Linked DNA regions of Anolis sagrei. The protein of the gene in region 4 interacts with the protein of the main gene of each other region in a biochemical or structural test. Links are inferred from orthologs where the notes say so. Each region holds a gene or a part of one and is shown on either strand. Other genes may lie near its edges.

Evidence for each region.
Region 1: of the proteins of UBA1 (region 4) and UBE2B, one has a biochemical effect on the other in vitro, tested with the Homo sapiens proteins (10 studies listed by BioGRID, with this or other methods). The link is inferred for Anolis sagrei from reciprocal best matches to the Homo sapiens genes UBA1 and UBE2B.
Region 2: of the proteins of UBA1 (region 4) and CDC34, one has a biochemical effect on the other in vitro, tested with the Homo sapiens proteins (7 studies listed by BioGRID, with this or other methods). The link is inferred for Anolis sagrei from reciprocal best matches to the Homo sapiens genes UBA1 and CDC34.
Region 3: of the proteins of UBA1 (region 4) and UBE2A, one has a biochemical effect on the other in vitro, tested with the Homo sapiens proteins (6 studies listed by BioGRID, with this or other methods). The link is inferred for Anolis sagrei from reciprocal best matches to the Homo sapiens genes UBA1 and UBE2A.

What each region holds. Positions count from the first base shown.
Region 1 is NC_090022.1:91,998,885-92,005,954, reverse strand, and holds the start of UBE2B (ubiquitin-conjugating enzyme E2 B), read left to right. Parts: upstream 1-4,062; 5' UTR 4,063-4,416; coding exon 4,417-4,460; intron 4,461-7,070. UniProt on the Homo sapiens protein: E2 ubiquitin-conjugating enzyme that accepts ubiquitin from the ubiquitin-activating enzyme E1 and transfers it to a E3 ubiquitin-protein ligase. In vitro catalyzes 'Lys-11'-, as well as 'Lys-48'- and 'Lys-63'-linked polyubiquitination.
Region 2 is NC_090034.1:52,346,097-52,353,923, forward strand, and holds the start of CDC34 (ubiquitin-conjugating enzyme E2 R1), read left to right. Parts: upstream 1-4,809; 5' UTR 4,810-5,022; coding exon 5,023-5,199; intron 5,200-7,827. UniProt on the Homo sapiens protein: E2 ubiquitin-conjugating enzyme that accepts ubiquitin from an E1 ubiquitin-activating protein, and catalyzes its covalent attachment to other proteins by an E3 ubiquitin-protein ligase complex. In vitro catalyzes 'Lys-48'-linked polyubiquitination.
Region 3 is NC_090030.1:3,051,150-3,058,939, reverse strand, and holds the start of UBE2A (ubiquitin-conjugating enzyme E2 A), read right to left. Parts: upstream 3,025-7,790; 5' UTR 2,834-3,024; coding exon 2,790-2,833; intron 1-2,789. UniProt on the Homo sapiens protein: E2 ubiquitin-conjugating enzyme that accepts ubiquitin from the ubiquitin-activating enzyme E1 and transfers it to a E3 ubiquitin-protein ligase. In vitro catalyzes 'Lys-11', as well as 'Lys-48'-linked polyubiquitination.
Region 4 is NC_090022.1:193,378,001-193,384,979, reverse strand, and holds the start of UBA1 (ubiquitin-like modifier-activating enzyme 1), read left to right. Parts: upstream 1-3,957; 5' UTR 3,958-4,089; intron 4,090-6,979. UniProt on the Homo sapiens protein: Catalyzes the first step in ubiquitin conjugation to mark cellular proteins for degradation through the ubiquitin-proteasome system.

The DNA.
Region 1 (7,070 bases), about 100 Mb from region 4:
TGAGTTTTGGATTCACGTTCTATTACCACTGTATTTTGTACCATGTGTTTTGGTGTATGTATTCTATGTTGAGGTGTTTTCACTGTGTTGGATCCCACCTTGAGAGGAGAGGCGGGTAACAAAAATTCTTCCTCCACCACAACCTCCTCCTCTGCCTCCTCTCCTTCTCCTACAATAGCCCTCAGAGTTGGTTCCAGGACACACACACATTGATACCAAAATCCATGGATGTGCAAGTTCCATTATACACAATGTTATAGTAGAAAAGCATTCCTTATATAAATGGTAAAACCAAGATTTTGTCTTTTGGAATTAATTTTTAATATTTTCTAGCCATGGATAGTTGAATCCATGGATATGGAGAGCCAAATGTACAGTATTATACTGACAATTTTATTTCCAGTTTCCCTTTTAATTATGGCCAATGTGGACTTTAGCTTTTTTATAGCAGCCACAGTCTGATTTTGTTGAACTTTGTACCATAAGGGAAGATCCTTTTCTGAGTCAGTTGCTGACAGCTCATGATCCCATCAGTATATATCACTCAAACCATAGTATTTTCAGTTTCTATGTATGATTCAGAAAGTTAGATAGCAAAGGAAGATAATATGGTGAATTCATTTTAAATACAGTCCTGGAGAAAAGGTCTAGGGAAATCGTTTAAAAAAGCCCTAGAACAAATCAAACCTAAACTTTCACTGACAACTAAAATTACCAAGCTGTGGTTGTTTTATTTTGGATGCATCATGAGACAATATGACTCACTGGAAAAGATAAGGAGCTATGGTGGCACAATAGGTTAAACCCTTGCGCTAGCTGAATTGCTGACCTGAAGGTTAACGGTTCAAATCTGTGAGATGGAGTGAGCTCTCATCTGTCAGCTCCAGTTTCCCATGCGGGGACATATGAGAAGCCTCCCACAGATGGCCAATTCTCTCACACCAGAAGCGATTTTCAGTCACTTCTGACACACAAAAATTTGGAAAACATTATAGTAGAATCATCGAATTGGAAGAGATTACATGGGCCATCTAATACAACCTCCATAATACAGAAAAAGCACAATCAGAGCACCCCAACAGATAGCCATCCAGCCTCTATTTAAAAGCTTCCACCACACTCCAAGACTGGGAGTTCAACTGTTGGTCAGGAAGTTCTTCCTAATGTTCAGGTGGAATCTCCTTTCCTGTAATTTGAACTCATTGCTCCGAGTCCTAGTCTCCAGGGCAGAAGAAAATAAGCCTGTTCTCTCTTCCTTATGACATCCTTTCACATATTTATACATGGCGATCATGTCTTTTTTCAACTTTCTCCTCTGCAGGCTAAACATGCCCAGCTCTTTAAGTTGCTCCTTATAGGGCATGGTCTCCACATTTTTGATAATTTTAGTCACCCTCTTCTGGACATGTTCCAGATTGTCAATATCCCTCTTGAATTGTGGTGCCCAGAATTGGGCACAGTATCCCAGCTGAATCTGACCAGAGCAGAATAGAGAGGCACCATTTCTTTCCTTGATATAGACCAGTGGTTCTTAACTTGTGGGCTGTGGACCACCAGTGGGCCGCAAGGTCAAAAATCTGGTTTGCATGCCTTCTTCCTCTTCATTTATTTATTATTTATTTTATTTCTGCTCCTTTCACATTCCTTCCCTGTCTTTGACCATGGCATATGTTCTATATCAGAAATTAGAGCTGATATGGTCTATCCAATGCAATTTTCTGATCTTTAATATTAGTCTTGGCTTGTTTGCAAATATATATTTAAAGTAAAGTGTTCCCAATTTAAACATGTGGTCTATTACATAAACACCATCAGTTTTGGAATTGTATTTTATTATGATGATGTATACAGTTAATTGTTCTGGCACTAAAAAAATCTATTGAAATATAATTGACTGATGTACTTGTACTTCTTTTTGTATGTAAATTATCATTAGATCTAGTTTTGAACAAAAGGCAGATAAGAATAAAACGATTGCACCTTTAAATTGATTCGAAGACCTTGCTTATAACATCAAGTTACTTGCAACAGGATGCAGATTCATGCTGAACTTTCTGAGGCCTGGCCAAAGACATTTTGCTGTCTGAATCAGAGTACCAAAATAATAATAATAATAATAATAATAATAATAATAATAACAATAATAGTACTTCTGTGGTTGTTTTGCTTCCAACTACAGGCCCATGCCCTGGTTGCTCAGCAGGTCCTGGTTTCTGTAGCCCACTTGTCAACGGGTGCCCAGGAGAAGCACTCGCCGCGGCCCTTATTATCCTGGGCAGCGACCAAGCCAGTCTAAATTTCTTTAGAGTTTGTTTTACCATATTTAAATGGGTTGGATGCACTTAGTTCTACTTCTCAGTTGAGCCCACTCTGGCTTGGTTGAACCTACTGGTAGTTTACACTATGACCAGCACAGAAAATGAACACGTCAAGCTACTTTGGGACTTCCGAACTCAGACTGACAGAGTTTTGGAGCACAATATGCCTGACCTCACGATCGTGTTAAAAAACAAAGTATGGATTCTAGAGCTTGCAATCCCAGGTGACAGCAGGATTGAAGAGAAACAACTAAAAAAGCTGATACAATACGAGGATTTAAAGATCAAACTGCAAAGACTCTGGCACAAACCAGTAAAGATGGTCCCAGTGGTGATTGGCTCACTGGGTACAGTGCCTAAAGACCTTGGTCTCCACTTAAACACAATAGGCACTGACAAAATCACAATCTTTCAGCTGCAAAAGGCCACCGTACTAGGATCTGCATGCATTATTTGCCGATACATCACACAGTCCTAGACACTTTGGGAAGTGTCCATGTGATCGATTACAACAGCCAGCAGAGTGATCTTGCTTGCTGTGGACTCATCTTGTTGTGTTTCTAATAATAATAATAATAATAATAATAATAATAATCGATCAGCATACTGAGTGCAGTGCTTAAAGACCATGGCCTCGACTTAAAAGCAATAGGCACTGACAAAATCACCATCAGTCAGCTGCAGAAGACCACCCTACTTGGATCTGCATGCATTATTTGCAGACACATCACACAGTCCTAGACACTTGGGAAGTGTCTGACGTGTGATCCAATACAGTAGCCAGCAGAGTGACCTTGTTTGGTGTGTACTATAGAATCATAGACTCAAAGAGTTGGAAGAGACCTCATGGGCCGTCCAGTCCAACCCCCTGCCAAGAAGCAGGAATATTGCATTCAAATCACCCCTGACTGAGAAGGCTGAGAGGAGATATGATAGCCATGTATATATATGTGAGAGGAAGCCACAGGGAGGAGGGAGAAAGCTTGTTTTCCGCTTCCCTGGAGACTAGGATGCGAAACAATGGCTTCAAACTACAAGAGAGGAAATTCCATCTGAACATGAGGAAGAACTTCCTGACTGTGAGAGCCGTTCAGCAGTGGAACCCTCTGCCCCGGAGTGTGGTGGAGGCTCCTTCTTTGGAAGCTTTTAAACAGAGGCTGGATGGCCATCTGTCAGGGGTGATTTGAATGCAATATTCCTGTTTCTTGGTAGGGGGTTGGACTGGATGGCCCTGAGGTCTCTTCCAACGCTTTGATTCTATGACAGATGGCCATCCAGCCTCTGTTTAAAAGCTTCCAAAGAAGGAGCCGCCGCCACACTCCGGGGCAGAGAGTTCTACTGCTGAACGGCTCTCACGGTCAGGAAGTTCTTCCTCGTGTTCAGATGGAATCTCCTCTCTTGTAGTTTGAAGCCATTGTTTTTGTGTTTATAATAATAATAATAATAATAATAATAATAATAATAATAATTTGCTGATGTACTGCAAATCATTCAACACACCTGCCATGAAATCCATCTAGATTTTGCCCATCCCATTCAGATGATGGTAAGACAAGACATTTTTTTAATTGTTTAAGGATTGTGTGAAACTCTGCCTTAAAGGGTAATAAAGATTTCAAAGGCCAACCAAAGCAACTCTTTCCACCAGCAGGGCGGAGGAGTTGTTGTTGTTGTTACATTGGAATGGAATGAGGGGGTTGGACCGGATGGCCCTTGTGGTCTCTTCCAACTCTATGGGAAAAGACATGATGTCGCTGCCTCTCCTTCCCTGAACGCATGGGAATGTCGAAGCGAAGTTCCTGGGAGGAGAGGGAAAGCGCCTTCCGCCGCCCTGCCCTCCGCTTCCGCAGTGGTACGTTCCTAAGGCTCCCTGCCCTCCCCCCTCCAAGTAGGCGCAGTGGTACGGTCCCGAAGGGAGGCTGCCTTCCTCCCTCCCTCCCTCCCTCCCGCTGGCGGAGGGAGACGCCATTGCGGAGTTGTTTGTGAAGCAGCGGAGCAGGAGGAGGCGGCGGCAGCGGACGAGGAGTGAGCCGCCCTTGGTGCCGAGGCTGTTTGAGGCCGAGCGGGGATTATTTTACCACCGGGAAAAGGGGAGACCATGTCCACTCCGGCCAGGCGGAGGCTCATGCGGGACTTCAAGAGGCAAGTGCGGCCCTGCTCTCCCCCTGCCCACCTTCCTTCGTCCCCTCTGCTTTGGGCCTGTTCTGGGGCTGGCCCTCCTTTCCTTAAAGGGCCCGCGCCTCCCTGGGGGTCCTGGCTCCCCTGCTCCCCCCTCTTTCCTTTCGTGTCTAGGAAGAAGGGGGCCGTCTGGATTTTGCCCCCAAGCTGGTGAGAGGGCAAAAAGATTGAGAAGTTCCCCTCTTTCCTTCCTTTTCCTCTCCTGTTATGGAAGTAGGCATCAGGATACATTTGGAAGAAGGAGAAGGGTTCAGCTAGAGCAGGCATGGGCCAACTTGGGCCTTCCTCCAGGTGTTTTGGACTTCAACTCCTACAATTCCTAACAGCCGCTAGGCTGTTAGGAATTGTGGGAGTTGAAGTCCAAAACACCTGGAGGAAGGCCCAAGTTTGCCCATGCCTGAGCTAGAGACAGAAGGTGTAAAGGATGCCCCCACCCCCACCCCCCAAAAAAATAAAGAAAGAGAAGGAATTGTCTGTACTTTTGGGGCAATGGCTCAAACCATTGGCTTCTCCCTCTGGGCCTTGGGCAAGGAATGCCTTTAGAACAGGTGTGGGCAAACTTGGGCCTTCCTCCATTTGTTTTGGACTTCAACTCCCACAATTCCTAACAGTCTACCAACTGTTAGGAATTGTGGGAGTTGAAGTCTAAAACCCCTGGAGGAAGGCCCAAGTTTGCCCACACCTGCTTTAGATCAAAACTGAGTGGAAATGGAGTGGGTTGGCCTTGGCAGAAATACTGATCTGGTGGAAGGAGCTGGTTTGTTTATACCATGTTGGGGCATCCTGCCTCAGTCGAGGCCAAACCTTTAATAAATACCCTTTGCCGTCTTGGGAGACTGGAAGCAACACTTGCCCTCTTCGCCATCCCATGCTGAAGTTGTTACATTAAAGGTACAGTCCCCTTCATGGAAATAATTGCATCTATAATAAAGGAAGGGGTTTTAATCTGCTCAGAATACAGACTGTACAGTTTACCAGAGTTTCGCTTGCGATGCTCTCAGTCAACAGATCTCTGAGCATTTTGCCAATGCAGTGCTTCAAAAATAAAAGGAGCTATTGTAAGAGACTCAGGTTACCCACTGAGCCAACCCCGGAGCTGTAAATAAAACTTCTTCCAGTCCAGTCACTGCTGCTGCCGCCTCCTCTTCTTCTCATCCTGAATCTTTTAATCCCCACATATGTGCTCCAGAGTAGAGTTTCAGTGTATTTCAGTCTTGCTGCATTATATCCCTTTAAGCTTATACAGAATTAGTATAATAGTTACATTTTGGAAATTGAAACTCTTCAGAAAGTGGTTTGGAAGATGGCAGAGAAAAGAATAGGGAGTTTTGCTGTATAGCCAGCTTGTAGTGTTGGGGGAAAACTGGTTATGCTGAAACTGCCATTTCATGGCATGTAGAAAAATGTGCTCTTCACAAGGAAGCCTGTTGATTTTCCCTGTTGTATGTGGAGAGTTGTGTCCTATGTTTCTTTTAGGCTGCTTCCTATAGTTGGAAGTCCTGTCCTTCTCTGCTTCTTAGTTCTCACTGACATCTGGAGAGGATATGCTGAAGTTAGCAAAAATAATGGCCATTTTCTGTTTCTCAAGTAAGCTGCCAGGAAAAGCAAGCTCTCCAAAAGGACTTTCCTGGCACTGCAGATGGATTCCGCAGCGAAACATGTTACAGTTCCTCCAAAATCACAATTTATAACCTGGACACGTAAAAAGATTTAGATCGCCACATTAATGGTGTAACTGTCTCCTTGTAATTTAAACTGACTAGTCAGCAAGTTCGGCTGCAGGATGCCAGTCTTTGTTTTAGGCTGGAATTGGCAAGACTGCCTTTATGAATGGGCAAATATTTCAGATTGGGATCATGCAGTGGCTGCTGAGTCAGCATAGGGCAGCGGATGCTTGCCTCACTCCCAGTACATTAAATGGGGTTATGCCAACACAACAGTATGAGTTGTGTTGTTAACAGAGCACAGTGACAGTATGCAGCATTATTCTAATCCCAAACATGGTTTTTTCTTGAGAACACTGAGGGTCCTTCCACACAGCCCTATATCCCAGAATATCAAGGTAGAATATCCCACATTTTCTGAGTGTGGACTTAGATAATTCAGTTCAAAGCAGATAATGTAGGAATTTCTGCCTTGATATTCTGGGATATAGGGCTGTATGGAAGGGCCCTGGGGCTTATTTCGGGTATTGGTTATTCTATCACATTTATTATCCATGCTGAATTAATATTACCTAACTGCTTTTAATAGCTATTTGAGTATATCTAGAAAGCTCAGGAGTTACAGTTATAACCTTTGGCCTTGAACTCCCAAAAATCCTAACAGATGGTAAACTGGCTGGGATTTCTGGGAGTTGTAGATAAAACACCTGGGGACCCACAGGTTCAGAACCACTGTTCTAAACTATTTTCTAGATAGCTGGATTTGGCAGAGTGACCAAAAAAAGAGGGAGAAAGTTCTCAAGTCAAAGCTCTGGGATAATTGAAACATGCCCTATGACTCTTTTAAGTACTATTATTTGTTCCAAACATCTTGAATTAACAGGAGAAAGAACATTTTGGTCAAGTTATT
Region 2 (7,827 bases), on a different chromosome or scaffold from region 4:
ATATGTATCTACTCATATATATATGAAGATAAATGTATATATATAATCATATGAACATATATATGAACACACACAAGGATATATATGTATGTATGTTCATATATGATCATATATAGATGGAGCGCCCGGTGGCACAATGGATTAAACCCTTGTGCCGGCAGGATTGCTAACCGACAGGTCAGCAGTTCAAATCCGGGGAGTGTGGGTTGAGCTCCCTCTGCCAGCTCCAGCTACTCATGCAGGGACATGAAATAACTCTCCCACAGGATGGTAAAACATAAAAAAAAAACGGGTGTCCCCGGTCAGCGTCCTTGCAGATGGCCAATTCTCTCACGCCAGAAGCGACTTGCAGTTTCTCAAGTTGCTCCTGACACAAAAAATAAATCATATAGATGCACATATGTATGTATGTATATATATATATTGCCTTGTGTATATTCATATATATATATATATGTGTGTGTGTGTTCATATGTAGAGGTGTGTGTGTTTATATATATATATATATACTATGTGTGTGTGTATATAGATACACCAGTATATTTAAAATGTATGGTCTATTTTGCGAAGCACCTGCCTCCAGAGAGCATACATGTGTGCTCGTATGTATATGTGTGTATATATACATACACAATCTATATAATAATGTTTGTTTGTGGGATTAACAGAACTCAAAAAGCACTGGAAGAAATTAACACTAAATTTGGACAGCATATACCTAACAACCCAATGTATGTCTTTCACTCAAACAATTGATTTTGTCATTTGGGAGTTGTAGTTGCTGGGATTTATAGTTCACCTACAATCAAAGAGCATTCTGAACTCCACCAATGATGGAATTGAACCAAATGTGGCATACAGGACTCCCATGACCAACAGAAAACACTAGAAGGGTTTGGTGGACACTGACCTTGAATTTGGGAGTTGTAGTTCACCCACATCCAGAGAGCACTGTGGACTCAAACAATGATAGATTTGGACCAAACTTGGCACGAATATTCCATATGCCCAAATATGAATATTTGGAGTTTGGGGGAAATAGACCTTGACATTTGAGAGTTCTAGTTGCTGGGATTTATAGTTCACCTACAATAAAAGAACATTCCGAACCCCACCAACGATAGAATTGGGCCAAACCTCCCATACAGAACCCCCACAACCAACAGAAAATACTGTATTTTCTGGTGGTCTTTGGCAACACTTCTGACACCTCCTCACAACCCCCTCCCCCCGGGGTGCTAACTCCCAGGTTGTGAAATGCTGCCTTAATGCCATCCAGTCCACCTCCCCTCACCAGGACAAGAAAACATAATCAAAGCCCTCCTGACAGAGAGCTATACAGCCATAGATATAGATATACATGATTCACACACATATATGTATATGACAGACATAATACCATAGATTTGAAAGGGACCCTTAAAGAAGGACAATGATATGTTACATGTTCCAGAGTAGGCAAACCAGGCAATCTCCACATCAACACTGACAAAAAAACAACAAGAAGTAGTTTACTCACAAGCATAAAGACATTACATATATATTAGGGGTGAATCCAGCAAAGACGGAGATCCTATGGCTGGGTTGACTGGGCAATGGGGACATCCAGTTGCCTACCCTGGATGGCAGGGCGCTACGCCCGTCATCATTGGTAAAGACTCTAGGAGTCCTTTTGGACCCTCTGCTGACGATGGAGGCCCAGGTATCCGCCGTTAGCAGAACCGCCTTCTTTCATCTGCGGCAGGCTAGACGGCTGGCCCCCTACCTGTCCAGGGACGACCTAGCTACGGTGATCCAGGCCACGGTCATCTCAAGACTGGACTACTGTAACGCCCTCTACATTGGCCTTCCTCTGTCGGTGATCCGGAAGCTCAAGTTGGTACAAAATGCAGCTGCTCGGCTTCTTGCGGGAATTCCGATGAGATGCCACATAACACCAATCTTACTACAGCTGCATTGGTTACCAATTGAGCACCGGATCACTTTCAAAGTGATGGTACTCACCTTTAAGGCCTTGCATGGTTTGGGGCCGATGTATCTGAGGGACCGCCTCACCCCCTACCAACCCCAGAGATCCCTCCGTTCTGAGGACCAAGATCTATTGGAAGTCCCCAGTGTCAAGACCTTTCGTCTAATAGCAACCAGACGCAGAGCCTTCACAGCAGTGGCACCATCACTCTGGAATACTTTGCCACCTGAAGTCCGTGCCTTGCGGGACTTACCAGCTTTCCGCAGGGCATATAAGACATACCTGTTTCGACAGGCTTTTAATGTTTGATATTGCTATTTTTAAATTGCTTTTAAATTTTGTTAGATTTTAGCCATTCTTGTGAGCCGCTCCGAGTCCCAGGGGAGTGGCGGCATATAAGTTCAAATAATAAATAAATAAATAATAAATTAGAAACCGACACATTCTCATTACTTTATTTTCCAGATCACCAGACTGGGCCACAGCAACGTGTGGCACGGGATGGCTCGTAATATTATTATTATTATTATTATTATTATTATTATTAACTTTGTATTGTCGAAGGCTTTCATGGCTGGAATCACTAGGTTCTTGTGGGTTTTTGTGGGCTATATGGCCATGTTCTAGAGGCATTCTCTCCTGACGTTTCGCCTGCATCTATGGCAAGCATCCTCAGAGGTAGTGAGGTCTGTTGGAAATAGGACAATGGGTTTATATATCGTGGAACGGCTGGGGTGGGGCAAGGAGCTCTTCCCTGCTAGAGCTAGGTGTGAATGTTTCAGCTGATCACCTTCATTAGCATTTGAAGGCCTGCCTGAGCCTGGGAAAACCTTTTGTTGAGAGGTGTTAAGATGTGCCTGGTTGTTTCCTCTCTGCTGTTTTGCTGTTGTAATTTTAGAGTTTTTTAATACTGGTAGCCAGATTTTGTTCATTTTCCTGGTCTCTTCCTTTCTGTTGAAATTGTCCACATTCTTGTGTATTTCAATGGCTTCTCTGTGTAGTCTGACACAGAGACATTGTTGGTGTGGTCCAGCATTTCTGTGTTCTCAAATAATATGCTGTGTCCAGGCTGGTTCATCAGGTGCTCTGCTATGGCTGACTTCTCTGGTTGAAGTAGTCTGCAGTGCCTTTCATGTTCCTTGATTCGTGTTTGGGCAATACTGCTGCGTTTGGTGGTCCCTATGTAGACTTGTCCACAGCTGCATGGTATACGGTAGACTCCTGCAGAGGTGAGAGGATCCCTCTTGTCCTTTGCTGAACGTAGCATTTGTTGGATTTTCTTGGTGGGTTTGTAGATTGTTTGTATGTTGTGTTTCCTCATCAGCTTCCCTATGCGGTCAGTGGTTCCCTTGATGTATGGCAGGAACACTTTTCCTCTGGGTGGAAACAACCAGGCACATCTTAACACCTCTCAACAAAAGGTTTTCCCAGGCTCAGGCAGGCCTTCAAATGCTAATGAAGGTGATCAGCTGAAACATTCACACCTAGCTCTAGCAGGGAAGAGCTCCTTGCCCCACCCCAGCCGTTCCACAGATATATAAACCCATTGTCCTATTTCCAACAGACCTCACTACCTCTGAGGATGCTTGCCATAGATGCAGGCGAAACGTCAGGAGAAATGCCTCTAGAACATGGCCATATATCCCAAAAAACCCCACAAGAACCTATTATTAACTTTATTTGTACCCTGCTAGCATCTCCCGAAGGACTCGATGCGGCTTACATAGGCCAAGGCCTCAAAACACAACACAACAATACAACACCTAAAGCAAATTAAAAACAGTTAAAGCAATATTAACAACAAGCAATAAACAATACATCAAGACACTATAAAACTGGGCCGGGCCAGAGTAATGGGTATTATTATTATTATTATTATTAACTTTATTTGTACCCCGCTAGCATCTCCCGAAGGACTCGATGCGGCTTACACAGGCCGAAGCCTCAAAACACAATACAATAGAAAACATAACACAAAAATAACAAAGCAAATCAAAACAATAAGCAAAAATAACGACAATGGCAGTACATCAAGACATTATTAAAACTGGTTCGGCCGGCGCAATGGGGTACAAGGGTTAAAAGTGCTGAAATGGCAGGAGGTACGTAGGATTAAAAGTGCGGTGTGCAGTGACGATTAGTTATGCTAAGGTGCTACTAGGACTTGGGGTGGGGATTCCTAGTCTGAGAAGGCACAACGGAACAGCCAAGTTTTTAAATTCCTTCTGAAAACAGCTAGAGTAGGGGCCTGTCGGAGATCTTTTGGAAGGGCGTTCCAAAGTCGGGGGGCCGCCACAGAGAAGGCCCTGTCCCGTGTCCCCACCAAGCGCGCTTGCGACGTGGGTGGGATCACGAGCAGGGCCTCCCCAGATGATCGGAGCGAGCGTGTGGGTTCGTAGATGGAGATGTGGTCACGCAGGTAGGGTGGTCCCAAACCGTTTAGGGCTTTGTAGGTGAGCACCTGCACCTTGAATTGGGCTCGGAAAAGATTAAAAGTGCTGATGTGACAGGAGGTATGTAGGATTATAGGGTAAGTGCAGTGTGCAGCAATCTTAGTTCTATTAAAGTGCTTCTGGGACTTGGTATTGGAGATTCCTAATTCTGGAAAGGCACAATTTTGGTCTATTTTACGAAGCGGGCACACACGCCTAGGAAACTTCTTCTGTGGGTTTGTTTCCTTCTGCCTCTTTGTTTTTCCTCCTCCACTTCCGGCTTCCTGCCGCAGGCTTTCTTTCTGGGAGGTGTAGTCTTCGGCTCCTTCTAGAGTCCCCGCCCCCTCCTACGGTCCCGCCTCCTATTGGCGGAGGCCTCGGCTGGCTCCTCCCCTTTCCCCCGCCCTCGGGACTACGCATCCCAGGCAACCCCGCTCGCGGCGGCGGCTGGTTGGCTGGCTGGCTGGTTGCTCGCTCGCTCTCTCTCAGCCTTGTTCTTCCCCTCAGCCTCCTCCGGCGGTGCTGTTCCTTCCCCAGCACCTACTGCCGCGCTCTCGTCTCCGCAGCCGGGCCGCCCCCGTCACGCGAGTCCCCGGCTTCGTTCGCGGCCTGCTTTGGAGCATGGCACGTCCGGCGGTGCCCAGCTCGGCGAAAGCGCTGCTCCTGGAGCTGAAGGGCCTTCAGGAGGAGCCCGTGGAGGGCTTCCGCGTCAGCCTGGTGGACGAAGGCGACCTCTACAACTGGGAGGTGGCCATCTTCGGACCCCCCAACACCCACTACCAGGGAGGCTACTTCAAGGCAAGCAGGCCTCGCACCCAGGGCTGGAGTGGATGATGATGATGATGATCAGGGAATATTATTTATTACCATTATATTACATAAGAATATTTATTATTATTATTATTATTATTATTAAGGAATATTATATTACACTGGAATATTTATTGTTATTATATTACATAGGAACGTTTATTATTATATTACATAGGGATATTAGTATAATATTATTAAGGAATATTATATTACATAGGAATATATTTTATTATATATAAATATATATATATAAAATTACACACCTTTATTTATATGTAACAAATTATTATATTGCATAGGAATATTAATTATTCTATTACATAGGAATTTTTGTTATTGTTATATTACATAGGAATATTTATTCAAAGGTAAATTACACATCTTTCTTTAATATATTTCTATTATATTTATATTCGTTTATATATATATAATTATATATATATATATGTATATATATGTATATATATATTTTATTCTAAGGTAAATTAAACACACCTTGCTTTATTTCTATTTAATTTATATTCTTATTATATTCAAAGCTAAAATATTATTAAATATATATTTAATATATTTAATATATTTATTTATATTCTTATTATATTCATATATATATATATATATATATATATATATAGGATCCCCTGGTTGCGCAGTGGGTTAAACCCTTGTGCCGGCAGGACTGCTGACCGAAAAGTCGATGGTTCGAATTCAAGTCCCATAGGCAAACCTCTCCATCACTGTTTATTTTTATCTCTCTTTTTAGTCTAGTCCCCTTTAGATGCTATTGTATAACCCCACTTCTGCTTTGAATCATATTATACTAATTCAGTGGGTCCCCAAGTGTTTTGGCCTACAACTCCCAAAAATCTCAGCCAGTTTACCAGCTGATAGGATTTCTGGGAGTTGAAGACCAAAACATCTAAAGACCCACAGATTGAGAACCACTGTACTAATTCCTAACCCACCCCTCCCATCTCATTTTCATAAAGACAAGACAAAAGCATGTTTACACCAATGATGAGTTTTGGGTCTTTATAATTCTAATCAATCCTATTGCGATGGGCCTATTATGAGTAACAAACATAAACATTAAAACAAAGCACCAAAACAACAGACTCTCGCCTGACCTCTTACTCACTGCCTGCTGACTTTTAATCAATTCCCTTTAAATGTGGTTGTATAATCTCACATCTGCTTCAAATAACATTCTACAATTTCCCGCAATAAACAAATACTAATTATCATAACTAGTGAATTAGTAAGTCCCAAATTTGCTGGTCGTTAGGCAAGTATTTCTCCTTTGTTGGCCTAGTTCGTTTGTCCAGATGCTACATTGGCTGTTGTTATACTATATAACAAAACATTTGGGGAGGGGGCAGGAGCAGGTATGGATCTGTTCTGGTTTGAATGTGTGATTTCCTGTTTAATTGTGTGGTCCTTACTTTGTAAAGAGTTGTTCTACTCCAGAAACTTTGTTTCCGTGGCTGCCACAACGTATGTTGAATTGGTTGAATCTCAGTGATATATTCATTGTATAACTAGAGAATGCTTTGAGCCACTAGAGCAGGCATGGGCCAACTTCAGCCCTCCAGGTGTATTAGACTTCAACTCCCACAATTACTAACAGCTGGAGGGCTGAAGTTTGACTGTGCCTGCAGTAGTGGGATGGGTGTCCCTTCCAAACTGATGCCATTTGCCCTGGGGTTGATCTGAGCGGCCAGGAAGTCCGACCGGCTGGACGACCTGATGACGGGGCAAAAAAAACGCCGCTGGGGAGGTTCTCAGTCGCAACTTCACTTCTGGAGGTAGGAAAACAGGTCCCAGTGACTCACCTGACCCTATATACCTTGGTAGCCCAACTTGCAAGGCGGGTCCTGAGTGCACGCCTTGGGCAGACATTGGCCTGACCTCCTAACCTAGAGGAAGGCTCCTGAAATGGCATTGTTGTTGTTACATTATTGTTATGGTTGTTGTTACCATTATCTATTTATATCTTCCCACCCAGTGTGCAATAATAACATGAAAGCACAGTGGGTCCTGCCAAAGTAATACTGTCTGCAGGTAGTCCTCAAGTTACAAACAGGATACGTTCTGTAGGTTTGTCCTTAAGTTGAATTTGTTTGTAAGTTGGAACGAGTACATTTTCTAAGTGTAACTCCAGCAATAAATAAATAAATCTATATGTGTGTGTGTGTGTCTGTGTATAGGATCGCATAGAGGAGGATGAACCCCCCCGTGGTGTTTGTGTTACTGTCTATTTGTTTGTAAGTCGAAACAAGTACATTTTCTAAATGTAACTTCAGCCAAATTTATATATATATGCACACGTATATGCATATCTATATGTATATTTAGCTTAGGATCACATAGAGGAGGGTGAACACCCCTGTGGTGTTTGTGTTACCTTCTGTGCCCCTGTTCGGAAGATTTCACCTCACTTTCTGTCCCTGTGAGAATGGGAGTTTGGGAAATTTGGCTTGTTGTGGAAACAAGGATCGAGGATAAAGCTTCAGTGGAGACCCCTTTCCTCCCGATAATAACTCTTCCAGGAGTAAATTTCCCTTCTGGTAAGTAGATTTCTCTCACTTCCTGTTGCCTCAGCCCTGTTCTTCA
Region 3 (7,790 bases), on a different chromosome or scaffold from region 4:
TTATATAAGACTCAATAATAGTAGTAATGATAAGATAGTATTATAAAATAAGACTCTCATAATAATAACAACAGATTAATAATAATATAACAATAAGACGTTGAGAAATATAATAATAATGATATAATAATAATAATATAAGAAGACTCTGAGTGGCAAGGCCTAGCAAGGAGATATATAAGACTCAATAATAATAGAAATGATAAGATAGTATTATAAAATAAGACTCTCATAATAATAACTGATTATTAATAATATAACAATAAGAAAATGCTGAATAATATCATAATGATATAATAATAATAATAATAATAATAATAATATAAGAAGTCTCTGAGTGGCAAGGCCTAGCAAGGAGTTATATTATATAAGACTCAATAATAATAGTAATAAGTTAACATTATAAAATAAGACTCTAATAATAATAATAATAATATATTGATAATAATATAATATAATAATAAGAGGCTGAGTAATGTAATAATAATGATATAATAATAAGAAGATATTATAAAATAAAGACTCATAATAGATTAATAATAATATAATATAACAATAAGAAGAGGCTGAGTAATATAATAATAATGATATAATTATAATTATAATAATATAAGAAGACTCTGAGTGGCAAGGCCTTATATAAGACTCAAAAATAATAGCAATAAGATAATATTATAAAATAAGACTCTAATAATAATATATTGATAATAATATAATAATAAGAGACTGAGTAATATAATAATGATATAATAATAATAAGATAATATCATAAAATAAAGACTCATAATAATAATAGATTAATAATAAAATATAACAATAAGAAGACGCTGAGTAATATAATAATAATAATGATATAATAATATAAGAAGTCTCTTGAGTGGCAAGGCCTAGCAAGGAGATATATTATATAAGACTCAATAATAGTAGTAATGATAAGATAGTATTATAAAATAAGACTCTCATAATAATAACAACAGATTAATAATAATATAACAATAAGACGTTGAGAAATATAATAATAATGATATAATAATAATAATATAAGAAGACTCTGAGTGGCAAGGCCTAGCAAGGAGATATATAAGACTCAATAATAATAGAAATGATAAGATAGTATTATAAAATAAGACTCTCATAATAATAACTGATTATTAATAATATAACAATAAGAAAATGCTGAATAATATCATAATGATATAATAATAATAATAATAATAATAATAATAATATAAGAAGTCTCTGAGTGGCAAGGCCTAGCAAGGAGTTATATTATATAAGACTCAATAATAATAGTAATAAGTTAACATTATAAAATAAGACTCTAATAATAATAATAATAATATATTGATAATAATATAATATAATAATAAGAGGCTGAGTAATGTAATAATAATGATATAATAATAAGAAGATATTATAAAATAAAGACTCATAATAGATTAATAATAATATAATATAACAATAAGAAGAGGCTGAGTAATATAATAATAATGATATAATAACAATTATAATTATAACAATATAAGAAGACTCTGAGTGGCAAGGCCTTATATAAGACTCAATAATAATAGCAATAAGATATTATAAAATAAGACTCTAATAATAATATATTGATAATAATATAATATAATAATAAGAGGCTGAGTAATATAATAATGATATAATAATAAGATAATATCATAAAATAAAGACTCATAATAATAATAGATTAATAATAAAATATAACAATAAGAAGACGCTGAGTAATATAATAATAATAATGATATAATAATATAAGAAGTCTCTTGAGTGGCAAGGCCTAGCAAGGAGATATATTATATAAGACTCAATAATAATAGTAATGATAAGATAATATTATAAAATAAAGACTCATAATAATGATAGATTAATAATAATACAATATAACAATAAGAAGACACTGAGTAATATAATAATGATGATATAATAATGTAAGAAGTCTCTTATATTATAAGAGACTTCTAAATAATACTCTAATAATATAATAATAATAATAATAATAATAATATAAGAAGTCTCTGAGTGGCAAAGCCTAGCAAGGAGACATATTATATAAGACTCAATAATAATAGTAATAAGATAATATTATAAAATAAGACTCTAATAATAATAATAGATTGATAATATGTAACATAATAAGAGGCTGAGTAATATAATGATATAATAATAAGATGATATTATAAAATAAGACTCTAATAATAATAATAGATTAATAATAATATAATATAATATAATAAGAGGCTGAGTAATATAATAATTATGATATAGTAATAAGATAATATTATAAAATAAGACCCTAATAATAATAATAGATTGATAATAATATAACAATAAAAAGACGCTGAGTAATATAATAATAATGATATAATAATATAAGGCAAGGCCTAGCAAGGAGATATATTATATAAGTCTCAATAATAACAGTAATTATAAGATAATATTATAAAATAAAGATGATAATAATAATATAATATAACAATAAGAGGCTGAGTAATCTAATAATAATGAGATAATGATAATCATCTAAGAAGTCTCTGAGTGGCAAGGCCTAGCAAGGAAAGGCTACGCCAAGTGCGTAAGCCGCTGTGGTGCGGGGCTCCCCATTGGTTGCCGGGCGCGCGTTACGCCAAGAGCGCGGTGGCTACGCAGTTGGCGCAGCGCTCCCCCGCCCGGCCGCCATGTTGTCTCTCCTGAGGGCTCCTTCTTCTCCGTCTCGGCCCGACTCGCTCCCTTTCCCGGGCCCAATCCCCTCGCCGCCCGGCCGCGCTGACCGTTTGAAGTCCCGCATGAGGCGCCTCCGGGCGGGCGTGGACATGGCGGGCTCTCGGCCAGGCGTCGCTCGCACTCCGCTCGCTCGGCTCCTCGCCTCGACACTGGCGCTCCCGACGCGGCCGGCGCCCCTAATCCCGCAGTGGTCGCGCCCGCCGCGCCTGCTCCCTCCACGCCGGACCGCACCACTGCTCTCGCCAAACAGGGGGGCACGGAATGGGACAATAAACAGGCAAGGGGCGGGGCCAGGGGCCGGCGAATCACATCTCGGAAAGGACACAAAGGGGCGTGGCTTCCGCAGGCTTGGGAAGGCAGCGCTCGCAGCCGTGACGTCATCCGCTCTGGGCGATACCAAGGCGCGGGCGAATAAAGGGGGGGAAATGGGAAGGAACCATAATAGTCATGGCATAGAATGGCGCAGGGGAAGCTTCTCTTCTATAATAATAATAACAATAATAACTATTATAATAAATATAATAAATATAATATATAATATAATAGTACAGGGATGGCTTCTCTTCTAAAATAATATAATACACAGGGAAGAGGCGGGGCTAGCGGCCAGCGAATCACATCGCGGGAAGGACACAAAGGGGCGTGGCTTCCGCAGGCTTGGAAAGAGAGCTCTCAAAGCGCTGACGTCATCCTCTCTGAGCGATACCAACAAGCGGTGAATAAAGGGGGGGAAATAGGTGGAAGGAACCATAATAGCCATGGCATAGAATACTGCAGGGGGAGCTAATAATAATAAATAGAATAATAATAATAATAATAATAATAATAATAATAATAATAATGATAATTAATATGATAGTGCAGGGAAGCCTCTATTCTAAAATAATAATAATAATAATAATAATAAATATAAATATAAAAATATAATATAATTGTGCAGGGGAAACATAATAATAATACATATAATAATAGCAAATATATTAGTGCAGAGGAAGCTTCTCTTCTAAAATAAATATTATATATATATATATATATATATATTTGCTCGGGGGGGGGAACTCTTTTTCTATGATAATCAAAATATTGTGATAATAATATAGTGCAGGGGTAGCTTCTCTTCTAAAATAATAATGATAATGAATATGATAGTGCAGGGAAGCTTCTCTTCTGAAATAATAATAATAATAAGAAGAAGAAGAATATGATTGTGCAGGGAAGCTTCTCTTTTAAAATAATAATAATTATAATAAATATATAATAATAAATATATAAATTTATGGAACACTTTGAAGAACAAGCCCTGGAGATAGCAACCAAAAAGCCCACGATATGGTTCAGAGATGTGGATGACACCTTCACCATTTGGAGCCATGGAGAAGAAGAACTCAACAGGTTCCTGGAACATCTCAACAGCATCCACCCAAACATCCAGTTCACCATGGAAAAAGAAAATGAAGGAAGACTGCCTTTTCTAGATGTCCTCATCATCCGCAAACCAGATCCACAATTGGGTCACACCGTCTACAGAAAACCCACACACACAGATAGATATCTACATAAAAACTCCAACCATCACCCAAGTCAAAAAAGAAGCACCATTCAAGCTCTGGCAGACCGTGCAAAGAGAATCTGTGAACCCCACCTCCTCCAAGAGGAACTGAACCCCCTCAACTGGGCTCTCCAGGCCAATGGAGACTCCACCTCAGACATCAGAAGAGCTGCAAGACCACCGAGAAGAAGCCACGAGAGTCAAGACGAAGACCCACCCAGAGGAAAAGTGTTCTTGCCAGACATCAAGGGAACCACTGACCACATAGGGAAGCTGATGAGGAAACACAACATACAAACAATCTACAGACCCACCAAGAAAATCCAACCAATGCTCCGTTCAGCAAAGGACAAGAGGGATCCTCTCACCTCTGCAGGAGTCTACCGTATCCCATGCAGCTGTGGAGAAGTCTACATAGGGACCACCAAATGCAGCGTTGTCCAAACACGAATCAAGGAACATGAAAGGCACTGCAGACTACTCCAACCAGAGAAGTCAGCCATAGCAGAGCACCTGATGAACCAACCTGGACACAGCAGATTATTATTTGAGAACACAGAAATGCTGGACCACTCTCACAACCACCAGGTCAGACTACACAGAGAAGCCATTGAAATCCACAAGAAGCATGTGGACAATTTCAACAGAAAGGAAGAGACCATGAAAATGAACAAAATCTGGCTACCAGTATTAAAAAAACTCTAAAATCACAACAGCAAAACAACAGAGAGGAAACAACCAGGCACATCTTAACACCTCCCAGCAAGAGATTTTCCCAGGCTCAGGCAGGCCTTCAAATGCTAATGAAGGTGGTCAGTTGAAACATTCACACCTAGCTCCAGCAGGGAAGAGCTCCTTGCCCCACCCCAGCCATTGTCCTAATTCCAACAGACCTCACTACCTCTGAGGATGCTTGCCATAGATGCAGGCGAAACGTCAGGAGAAATGCCTCTAGAACATAGCCCTATAACCCGAAAAAACCTACAAGAACCTAAATATATAAATATAATATAATTGTGCAGGGGAAACTTCTCTTCTGAAACAATAATAATACATATAATAATAATAAATATAATAGTGCAGAGGAAGCGTCTCTTCTAAAATAAATATAAATAATAAATAATAATAAATATAGTTGCTCAGCGGGATCTTTTTTTCTATGATGATGATGATGATGATAATAATAATAATAATAATAATAATATTTATTTATAGTGTCAGGAGTGAACCAAATAATAATAATAATAATAATAATAATAATAATAATAAATATAATCAAAATATAATAATAATAATAATAATAATAATAATAATAATAATAAAGGTCAGGGGTAGCTTCTCTTCTAAAATAATAATCTATATAAATAAAAATGTAATGTTCGTTCGTGCTACCATCAGAACTCAAAAACCACTGAGGGAATTGACACCAAATTTGGACACAAGACACCTAACAACCCAGTGTATGTCCTGCACTCAAAAAAATTGATTTTGAGATTTCGGAATTGGTGGTGCTGGGATTTATAGTTTACCTACAATCAAAGAGCATTCTGAACTCCACCAATGATGGAATTGAACCAAACATGGCATACAGGACTTCCATGACCAACAGAACACATTGGAAGGGTTTGGTGGGCATTGACCTTGAGTTTGGGAGTTGTAGTTCACCTACATCCAGAGAGCACTGTGGACTCAAACAATGATGGATCTGGACCAAACCTGACACAAATATTCCATATGCCCAGATATGAACACAGATGGAGTTTGGAGGAAATAGACCTTGACGTTTGGGATTTGTAGTTACTGGGATTTATAGTTCACAACAATTAAAGACCATTCTGAAACCCACAAACGACAGAAATGGGGCAAACTTCCCACACAGAACCCCCATGACCAACGCAAAATACTTAAGGCCATCCAGTCCAACTCCCTTCACCAGGGCAAGAAAACGTAATCAGAGCCCTCCTGACAAAGAGCCATCCAACCATAGATAGATAGATATGATTCTCACACACACACACACAGATATAGTATCATAGATTTGAAAGGGACCCCTAAAGAAGGACTATGATATGTTGCATGTTCCAGAGTAGGCAAACCAGACAATCTCCACATCAACACTGACAAAGAAACAACAAGAAATACTGTTTACCCACAAGCAGAAAGACATTACATATATTAGAAACCAACACTTTCTCATTACTTTATTTTCCAGATCAACAGACTGGGCCACAGCAATGCATGGCAGGGGACAGCTAGTATAATAATAATTAGAGATCCCTTGCCACGCGTTGCTGTGTCCCAGTCTGGTGATATGGAAAATCAAGTAATTAGAAAGTGCTGGTTTCTAATCTATGAAATGTCTTTATGCTTGTGGGTAAATAGTATTTCTTGATGTTTGACAGTGTTGACGTAGAGATTGTCTGGTTTGCTTACTCTGGAACATGCAACATAGAATTGTCCTTCTTTAGGAGTCCCTTTCAAATCTATAATACTTTATCTGTGTGTGTGTGAATCATATATATCCATCTCTATCTATGGCTCAGTAGCTCTCTGTCAGGAGGGCTTTGCTGATGTTTTCTTGCCCTGGTGAAGGGAGTTGGACTGGGTGGCCTTGAGTATTTTCTGTTGGTTATGGTGGTTCTGTGTGGGAAGTTTGCCCCAGTTCTGTCATTCGTGGGGTTTATTCAGAATGGTCTCTGATTGTAGGTGAACTATAAATCCCAGTAACTACAACTCCCAAATGCCAAGGTCTATTTCCCCCAAACTCCACCAGTGTTCATATTTGGACATATGGAATATTTGTGCCAAGTTGGTCCAGATCCATCATTGTTGGAGTCCACAGTGCTCTCTGGATGTAAGTGAACTACAACTCCCAAACTCAAGGTCAATGCCCACTAAACCCTACTAGTGTTGGTCATGGGAGTTCTGTCTGCCAAGTTTGGTTCAATTCCATTGTTCAGAATGCTGTTTGATTGAAGGTGAACTATAAATCCCAGCAACTACAACTCCCAAAGGAAAAATCATAATTTTTTGAGTGATGGTCACTCCTTCCATTGTGAGACGTTTCGTTGCCAAATTTAGTGTGATTTCGTTCATTGGTTCTTTTGTTTTTAAGGTACTCATTATGCACAGAGCATTTATATATATATTATATATAGAAGAGATAGATAGATAGATGGATGGATGGATGGATGGATAGATAGATAGATAGATAGATAGATAGATAGATAGATAGATAGATAGATAGATAGATGTTGTTGTTGTTCATTCGTTCAGTCGTCTCCGACTCTTCATGACCTCATGGACCAGCCCACGCCAGAGCTCCCTGTTGGCTGTCACCATCCCCAGCTCCTTCAAGGTGAGTCCAGTCCCTTCAAGGATACCATTCTTCCGCCTTGCACTTGGATGGCCCCTCTTCCTTTTACCTTCCACTTTCCCCAGCATCATTGTCTTCTCTAGGCTTTGCTGTCTCCTCATGATGTGGCCAAAGGACTTCAGC
Region 4 (6,979 bases):
TGGTGTCATCTGCAAACTTGATGATCCTGCCTTCTAACCCTTCATCTAAGTCATTAATAAAGATGTTGAACAGGACCGGGCCCAGGACAGAACCTCATTTACATCATTCCCCACATCCAAAGCACCCTGATCCTGAAACAAAATTACAGGCTGAACTACAACAAAAACAATAAATAAGACAAATAAGATTTCTGATAACAAAGCCGACTCATCATTCTTGTTCATCTCGTGGTGCCAGAGTGCAGTTTGTTCAGCGCCTTCCAAGTCGCCCAGTTTTCTGTGTGCCCAGGGGGGAGTCTCTCATTTGGTATCAGCCATTGATTGAGATTCTGGGTTTGAGCCTGCCACTTTTGGACTCTCGCTTGCTGGGGTGTTCCAGCGAGTGTGTCTGTAGATCTCAGAAAACTATTTCTTGATTTAAGTGGTTAATGTGCTGGCTGATACCCAAACAGGGGAAGAGCTGGAGATGTCACTGCCTTGGTCCTTTCACTATTGCTTGCTACTTCCTGGCGGATGTCAGGTGGTGCAATACTGGCTAAACAATGTAATTTCTCCAGTGGTGTAGGGCGTAGATTTCATTAATCCTTTAATGAAAAGTGATTACCGTAATATTGATTCGCAACTCAAAGTAATTCTTGCTGATTCCTTATGCCAATATGTTTCTCTCTCTCTGAAACCTGAATTTGCCTGAAGCAAACAGTCAGGACCAAATGAACTGAGTGCTTCTACTGTACAGGGCTGCCCTCCAGATAACACATTTATGTACGTTTGCTATAATAGCTGGCAGACGTCCCATGGGAGGCTTTGGTTAGCCACTGTTGACCAAGATGACCCTTTGATCTTCTCTAGCATGGCACTTTTAAAGGTTTTTGATAGTTTAATTGGTTGATTTTGTGATAAAAATGTGCTCTTTGCCAAAAAGCAGAGGATTTGGGGACAGAGTACAGTGAACACACAGAAATCGTATGCTTCAATAGGACAAAATCTTACCAAGAAGCCAAAATGCAATTGTTGATGCCAACTGGGTCAGCAGATAGGTTCTCCAGCTCCACATTTCACCAGCAAATCTGAATGGCTGGCACTTGTTCATCCAAGCTGTTTAGGCTCTTGGGGATTTCAAAGTACTTTGAAGTTGGATCTGAAGAATGTTGGCTAATTAATGGAAGTATAACTTGCTGCGAATGTTCAGAGGGACTCATCAGCACTGGCAATAATAAAAACTGTGGACTTCATCACACTGAAGCAAGGAAGTGTTTGGAAGAGCTCAGTCTGACTCAGTTTTGAAATGAAACTGATGATTTCCCTACTTTCATCACACTGTAAAATGTATCCGTGTTACTCAGTTGTACTCAGCATTTTTTCAGTAGATTTGCCATCACACTGTAATCACTAGGCACTGCTCACCATCCCTCCTCTCTTTGAAATGTCAGCTGTTACGTGTCTTCAATTTCGGAAGCAGGGGGGGGGGGGAATGTGGCAATGTCCTCTCAGCTGCCCCACAGAGAAGGGTGTAGACCTTGGAAAACTATAACTGCCAGGACTGCATAATATGGAGCTATGGTATTGAAAGTAAGATCCAACTGCATTCATTTCAAAGTGTATATGCACCAAGAGAAGGGCACTGACCTTGGAAAACTATAACTCTCAGGACTGCATAATATGGAGCTATGGAATTGAAAATAAGATTCAACTGCATTCATTCAACAGTGTAGATGCACCAAGAGAAGGGTTGACCTTGGAAAACTATAACTCCCAGGACTGCATAATATAGAGCTATGGTATTTAAAGTAAGGTCCAGCTGCATTCATTTCATGGTGTAGATCAGTGGTTCTCAACCTGTGGGTCCCCAGGTGTTTTGGCCTACAACTCTCAGAAATCCCAGCCAGTTTATCAGCTGTTAGGGTTTCTGGGACCCACAGGTTGAGAACCATTGGTGTAGATGCATCCAGAGAAGGTTCATGGACCTTGGGAAACTGCAATTCCCAAGAGCAAGTCATGGAGACATGGCATTTAAAGTAAGGTCCAACTGCATTAATTTCACAGTGTAGATGCACCAAGAGAAGGGTATCGACCTTGGAAAACTATGACTCCCAGGACTGCGCAGCATGGAGACAATGCATAATTAATAATAATAATGATATTTAGTCTAAGGATATGTCTGAACTGGAATGCAATTTAGGGCCACTTTAACTGCCATGGCTCAATACTATGGGATCCTGGGATTTATAGTCTGGTGAGGCACCAGCACTCCTTGACAGAAAATGCATCAGACCTTGTAAAACTATAGTTCCTATTATGCCATAGCACTGGTCCCTGGCTCTTAAAGTGGTGTCAAACTGCATTCATTTTACAACGTAGATGAACCCTAACAGGGAAATAAACTGGTAGCGTACTTTCTTAGATTAAAGACGCATCCTGTCGAATTAAGTAAATTTGTCCCCATTTAAACTGTCATGGCTGAAAGTTATAGACTCAAGACACTGGCAGATATAGCCTTCGGTTTTCTCTGCCAAAGAATGTTGGTGCCTCCCAAACTACAACTCCCATAAATCCACAGCATTGAGTGGCAGGAGTTAAAATGGGGCAAAACAGCATCAATTCTAATGTAGATGCACCTTTAGGCCTCATCTACACTGCCACATAAAATCCAGATTGTCTGCTTTGAACTGGATATGGCAGTCGAGACTCATATAATCCAGTTCAAAGCAGATAATATATGGCAATGTAGATGGGACCTCAGGGCCCTTCCACACAGCTATCTAACCCTGAATATCAAGGCAGATGATCCACAATATCGGCTTTGACCTGGGTTATCCCAGTCCACATTGTCATATAACCTGGTTCAAAGCAGATAATGTGGGATTTTATACGGAAGTGTAGATAAGACTTCAGGACCCTTCCCCACAGCCCTATAACCCAAAGCAGATAATATATTGCAATGTAGATGGGACCTCAGGGCCCTCCCACACAGCTAATCCTGAATATCAAGGCAGATATATCCCAGAATATAAAGGCAGAAAATCCCACAATATCTGTTTTGAACTGGGTTATCTGAGTCCACACTGTCATATAACCCGGTTCAAAGCAAATAATGTGGATTTTATATAGCAGGGTAGAGGAGACCTCAGGGCCCTTCCACACAGCCATATAACCCAGAATATCAAGGCAGATAATCTACAGTATTGGCTTTGAACTGGGTTATCTGAGTCCACACTGTCATATAACCCGGTTCAAAGCAGATGTGGGATTTTACATGGCAGTATAGATGGGACTTCAGGACCCTTCTCCACTGCTATATAACCCTTAATATCAAGGCAGAAAATCCCACAATATCGGCTTTGAACAGGGTTATCCGAGTCCACACTGTCATATAACCCGGTTCAAAGCAGATAATGTGGGATTTTATATGGCAGTATAGATGGGACTTCAGGGCCCTTCCCTACAGCCATATAACCCAGAATATCAAGGCAGAAAATCCCACAATATCGGCTTTGAACTGGGTTATCCGAGTCCACACTGTCCTATAACCCGGTTCAAAGCAGATAATGTGAGTTTTTTATCAATGCACCCCCAACCTGAAGGGGGCTCCCAGACCCGCTTTGGGCCCGATCGGCGCCCCCTGCGTGTGCCTCCAGCCACGTGTTTACGCCTCTGCCTCTTCCCCACGCATCAGAAGCCACGTGCTCCCTTCCAGGTCCAGCCGCCCGCCGACTACATTTCCCAGGTAGCCGAGCCGTACCATTCCCGCTCGACGAAGGGGGGAGGTCGTATTCTGAGTCGTCCCGTTCTGCTTCCCGGGGACCTCTTCCCGACAAAGGATGGTGGGGGTCAAAAGGGGCCGGCGTGGTCCTCAAGTGCACGGGAAGGGTTTTCTCTAGCGGGGAGGCAGAGCGCGGCGCTGCAAGGGGGAGCCCAAGAAGAGCGGACACCCCTCTGTGGGGGAATGGTTGCGCCCGACCCTCTCCTCGCAGCAGCAGCAGCAGCAGGCGGCGGCCGGGGCCCGCAGAAGCAGCCCAACAGGAGAGGCAGGCAGGCAGAGAAGCGGGAGAAGGACCCCCAGTTGGAACGCAGGCGGCTCACAGAGGGGGGGTGAGAGAGACCCGGAGGGGGTGCTGCTCTGAATGGGAGGGGGTGATGAGGAAGGGAGGGGGAGGGAGCGCAGAGGGAGCAGCCCCCTCCCTGCCTGGAAAGAAGGGGCGGGGCTGGGGAGGGGGAGGGGGAAGGGCATTTTGGGAATGGGGGTGTAGGGGGTCATGGGAGAGGAGCACCCACAAAGATGCATTCATTGATGGATTGTGTGGGTTCCTTTCCCCACCCCCCACCCCACTTTCTCGAGTGGGTGGAACAAGGGACATATTTTGCATATTTAATTTTTGCATATTTAATTAATTTAATTTTGGGAAATCCATATTTGATTTTGGAATTCCCCAAAGGACTTGATTTTAGGAGCATCTATCTGCATGCACACACTATGTGCATTGTTGGGTTGCTGTGAGTTTTCCGGGCTGTATGGCCATGTTCCAGAAGCATTCTCTCCTGACGTTTCGCCCACATCCACAGCAGGCATCCTCAGAGGTGGTGAGATCTGTGCATTGTTGGGTTGCTGTGAGTTTTCCAGGCTGTATGGCCATGTTCCAGAAGCATTCTCTCCTGACGTTTCTCCCACATCCACAGCAGGCATCCTCAGAGGTTGTGAGGTCTGTGCATTGTTGGGTTGCTGTGAGTTTTCCAGGCTGTATGGCCATGTTCCAGAAGCATTCTCTCCTGACGTTTCACCCACATCAGGCATCCTCAGAGGTTGTGAGGTCTGTGCATTGTTGGGTTGCTGTGAGTTTTCCAGGCTGTATGGTCATGTTCCAGAAGCATTCTCTCCTGACGTTTCACCCACATCCACGGCAGGCATCCTCAGAGGTTGTGAGGTCTGTTGGAAACTAGGCAAGTGAGGTTTATATTGGTAAAAAGTAAAGGTTTTCCCCTGACGTGAAGTCCAGTTGTGTCCGACTCTGGAGTGTGGTGCTCATTTCCATTTCTAAGCCGAAGAGCCGGCGTTGTCCATAGACACTTCCAAGGTCATGTGGCCAGCATGACTGCATGAAGCGTCGTTACCTTCCCACCAGAGTGGTACCTATTGATCTACTCACATTTGCATGTTTTCAAACTGCTAGGTTGGCAGGAGCTGGGGCTGACAGCGGAAGCGCATGCCACTCCCCGAATTTGAACCTGCAACCTTTCAGTCAACAAGCTCAGCAGCTCGGTGCTTTAACCCACTGCACCACCGGTGGCTCCTACCCACCGGGGGCTCCTAGAGCAGTGTTTCTCAACTTGTGGGTCCCCAGGTGTTTTGGCCTACAACTGCCAGAAATCCCAGCCAGTTTACCAGCTGTAAGGATTTCTGGGAGTTGAAGGCCAAAACATCTGGGGACCCACAGACTGAGAACCACTGTCCTAGAGGTTTATATATCTGTCTTTTATTCGTGTTGTATTTTGAAATAGTCATATGGCTGGTCAGATAAATAAATTATTATTATTATATATCGGTGGAAGGTCCAGAGTGGAAGAATCAACTCTTGTCTGCTTGAGGTCAGTGTCCAGGTTTCAATGGTCCACTTTCATTTATTTATCGTGTTTGGAGCGAACCAAAACAGTTGTATTGCATTAAACACAAACAAACAAACAAAACGCAAAGTTTGCAGACTTTGTATTCTATTAAATGTCCTTTGACCAGTAGCTGGCCACTTGGGTAGCCTCTGGTGTTGCTGCAAGAAGGTCCTCCATTGTGCATGTGGCAGGGCTCAGGTTTGTATTTTTTTGGTCGTGTCAGGAGTGACTTGAGAAACTGCAAGTCGCTTCTGGTGTGAGAGAATTGGCCGTCTGCAAGGATGTTGCCCAGGGGACGCCCGGATGATTTGTTGTTTTTATCATCCTTGTGGGAGGCTTCTCATGGCTCAGGTTACATTGCAGTAGGTGGTCTGTGGTTTGCTCTTGGCCACCTTGATTAGCATTGAATGGCCTTGCAGTTTCAAGGTCTGGCTTCTTACTACCTGGGGTAATTCTGTCTTAGAAGGTGATTAGCTGGCCCTGATTGTTTCTTGTCAGGAATTCCCCCTTTTTTAGTGTTGTTCTTTATTTACTGCTATGATTTTAAGAGTTTTTTTTTTAAATACTAGTAGGCAGATTTTGTTCATTTATCCATTAAATACTAATCAAGCTGGTCAATTGAAATGTTCACACCTAGCTCCAATAGGCAAGAGTTCTTTCTCCCACCCTGGACTTTCTACAGATATAAACCCAATTTTCCTAGTTTCCAACAGAACTCACAACCTCTGAGGATGCCCGTCATAGATGCAGGCGAAACTTCAGGAGAGAATGCTTCTGAAACTGGGGGTCCTTCCACACAGGATATCAAGGCAGAAGATCCCACATTATCTGAGTGTGGACTCAGATAACCCAGTTCAAAGCAGATATTGTAGGATTTCCTTGATATTCTGGGATACAGGGCTGTGTGGAAGGGCCCATGGTCAATACAGCCTGGAAAACTCACAACAACCCAGTGATTTCGGCCATGAAAGCCTTCAACAATACATATGTGTGTTATGTTTGGAGTGCTGATTATTCTAGGTAAGGAATTCCACGCCATTCCTTTGGACCTGATAGGGGAAGTAGACTCTGTTAACTGAAACTCTCAAGCAACCAGAAAATCAGTTTTTAGTAGGAATGTCTGTTTAAGTTCATTTGGTTTTTTATTTCTCTCTGTTTCATTTTCATGGCTGTATTTCAATATTACTATCATGTCGATACAGAGTTTATGACATAGTCTGAAAAAGAGTGAAAACATGGCTTTAGGATCAAGCCTTTGGTGAATAATACAGTGCAATAGATGGAATTATGTGCAGTGACTATTGGAACAGCCTGGACTGTTCTTGCAGATAGGATGGTTTATAGTAGTAATTGTAATGTTTTCTAATCTTGTTTTTTAAAA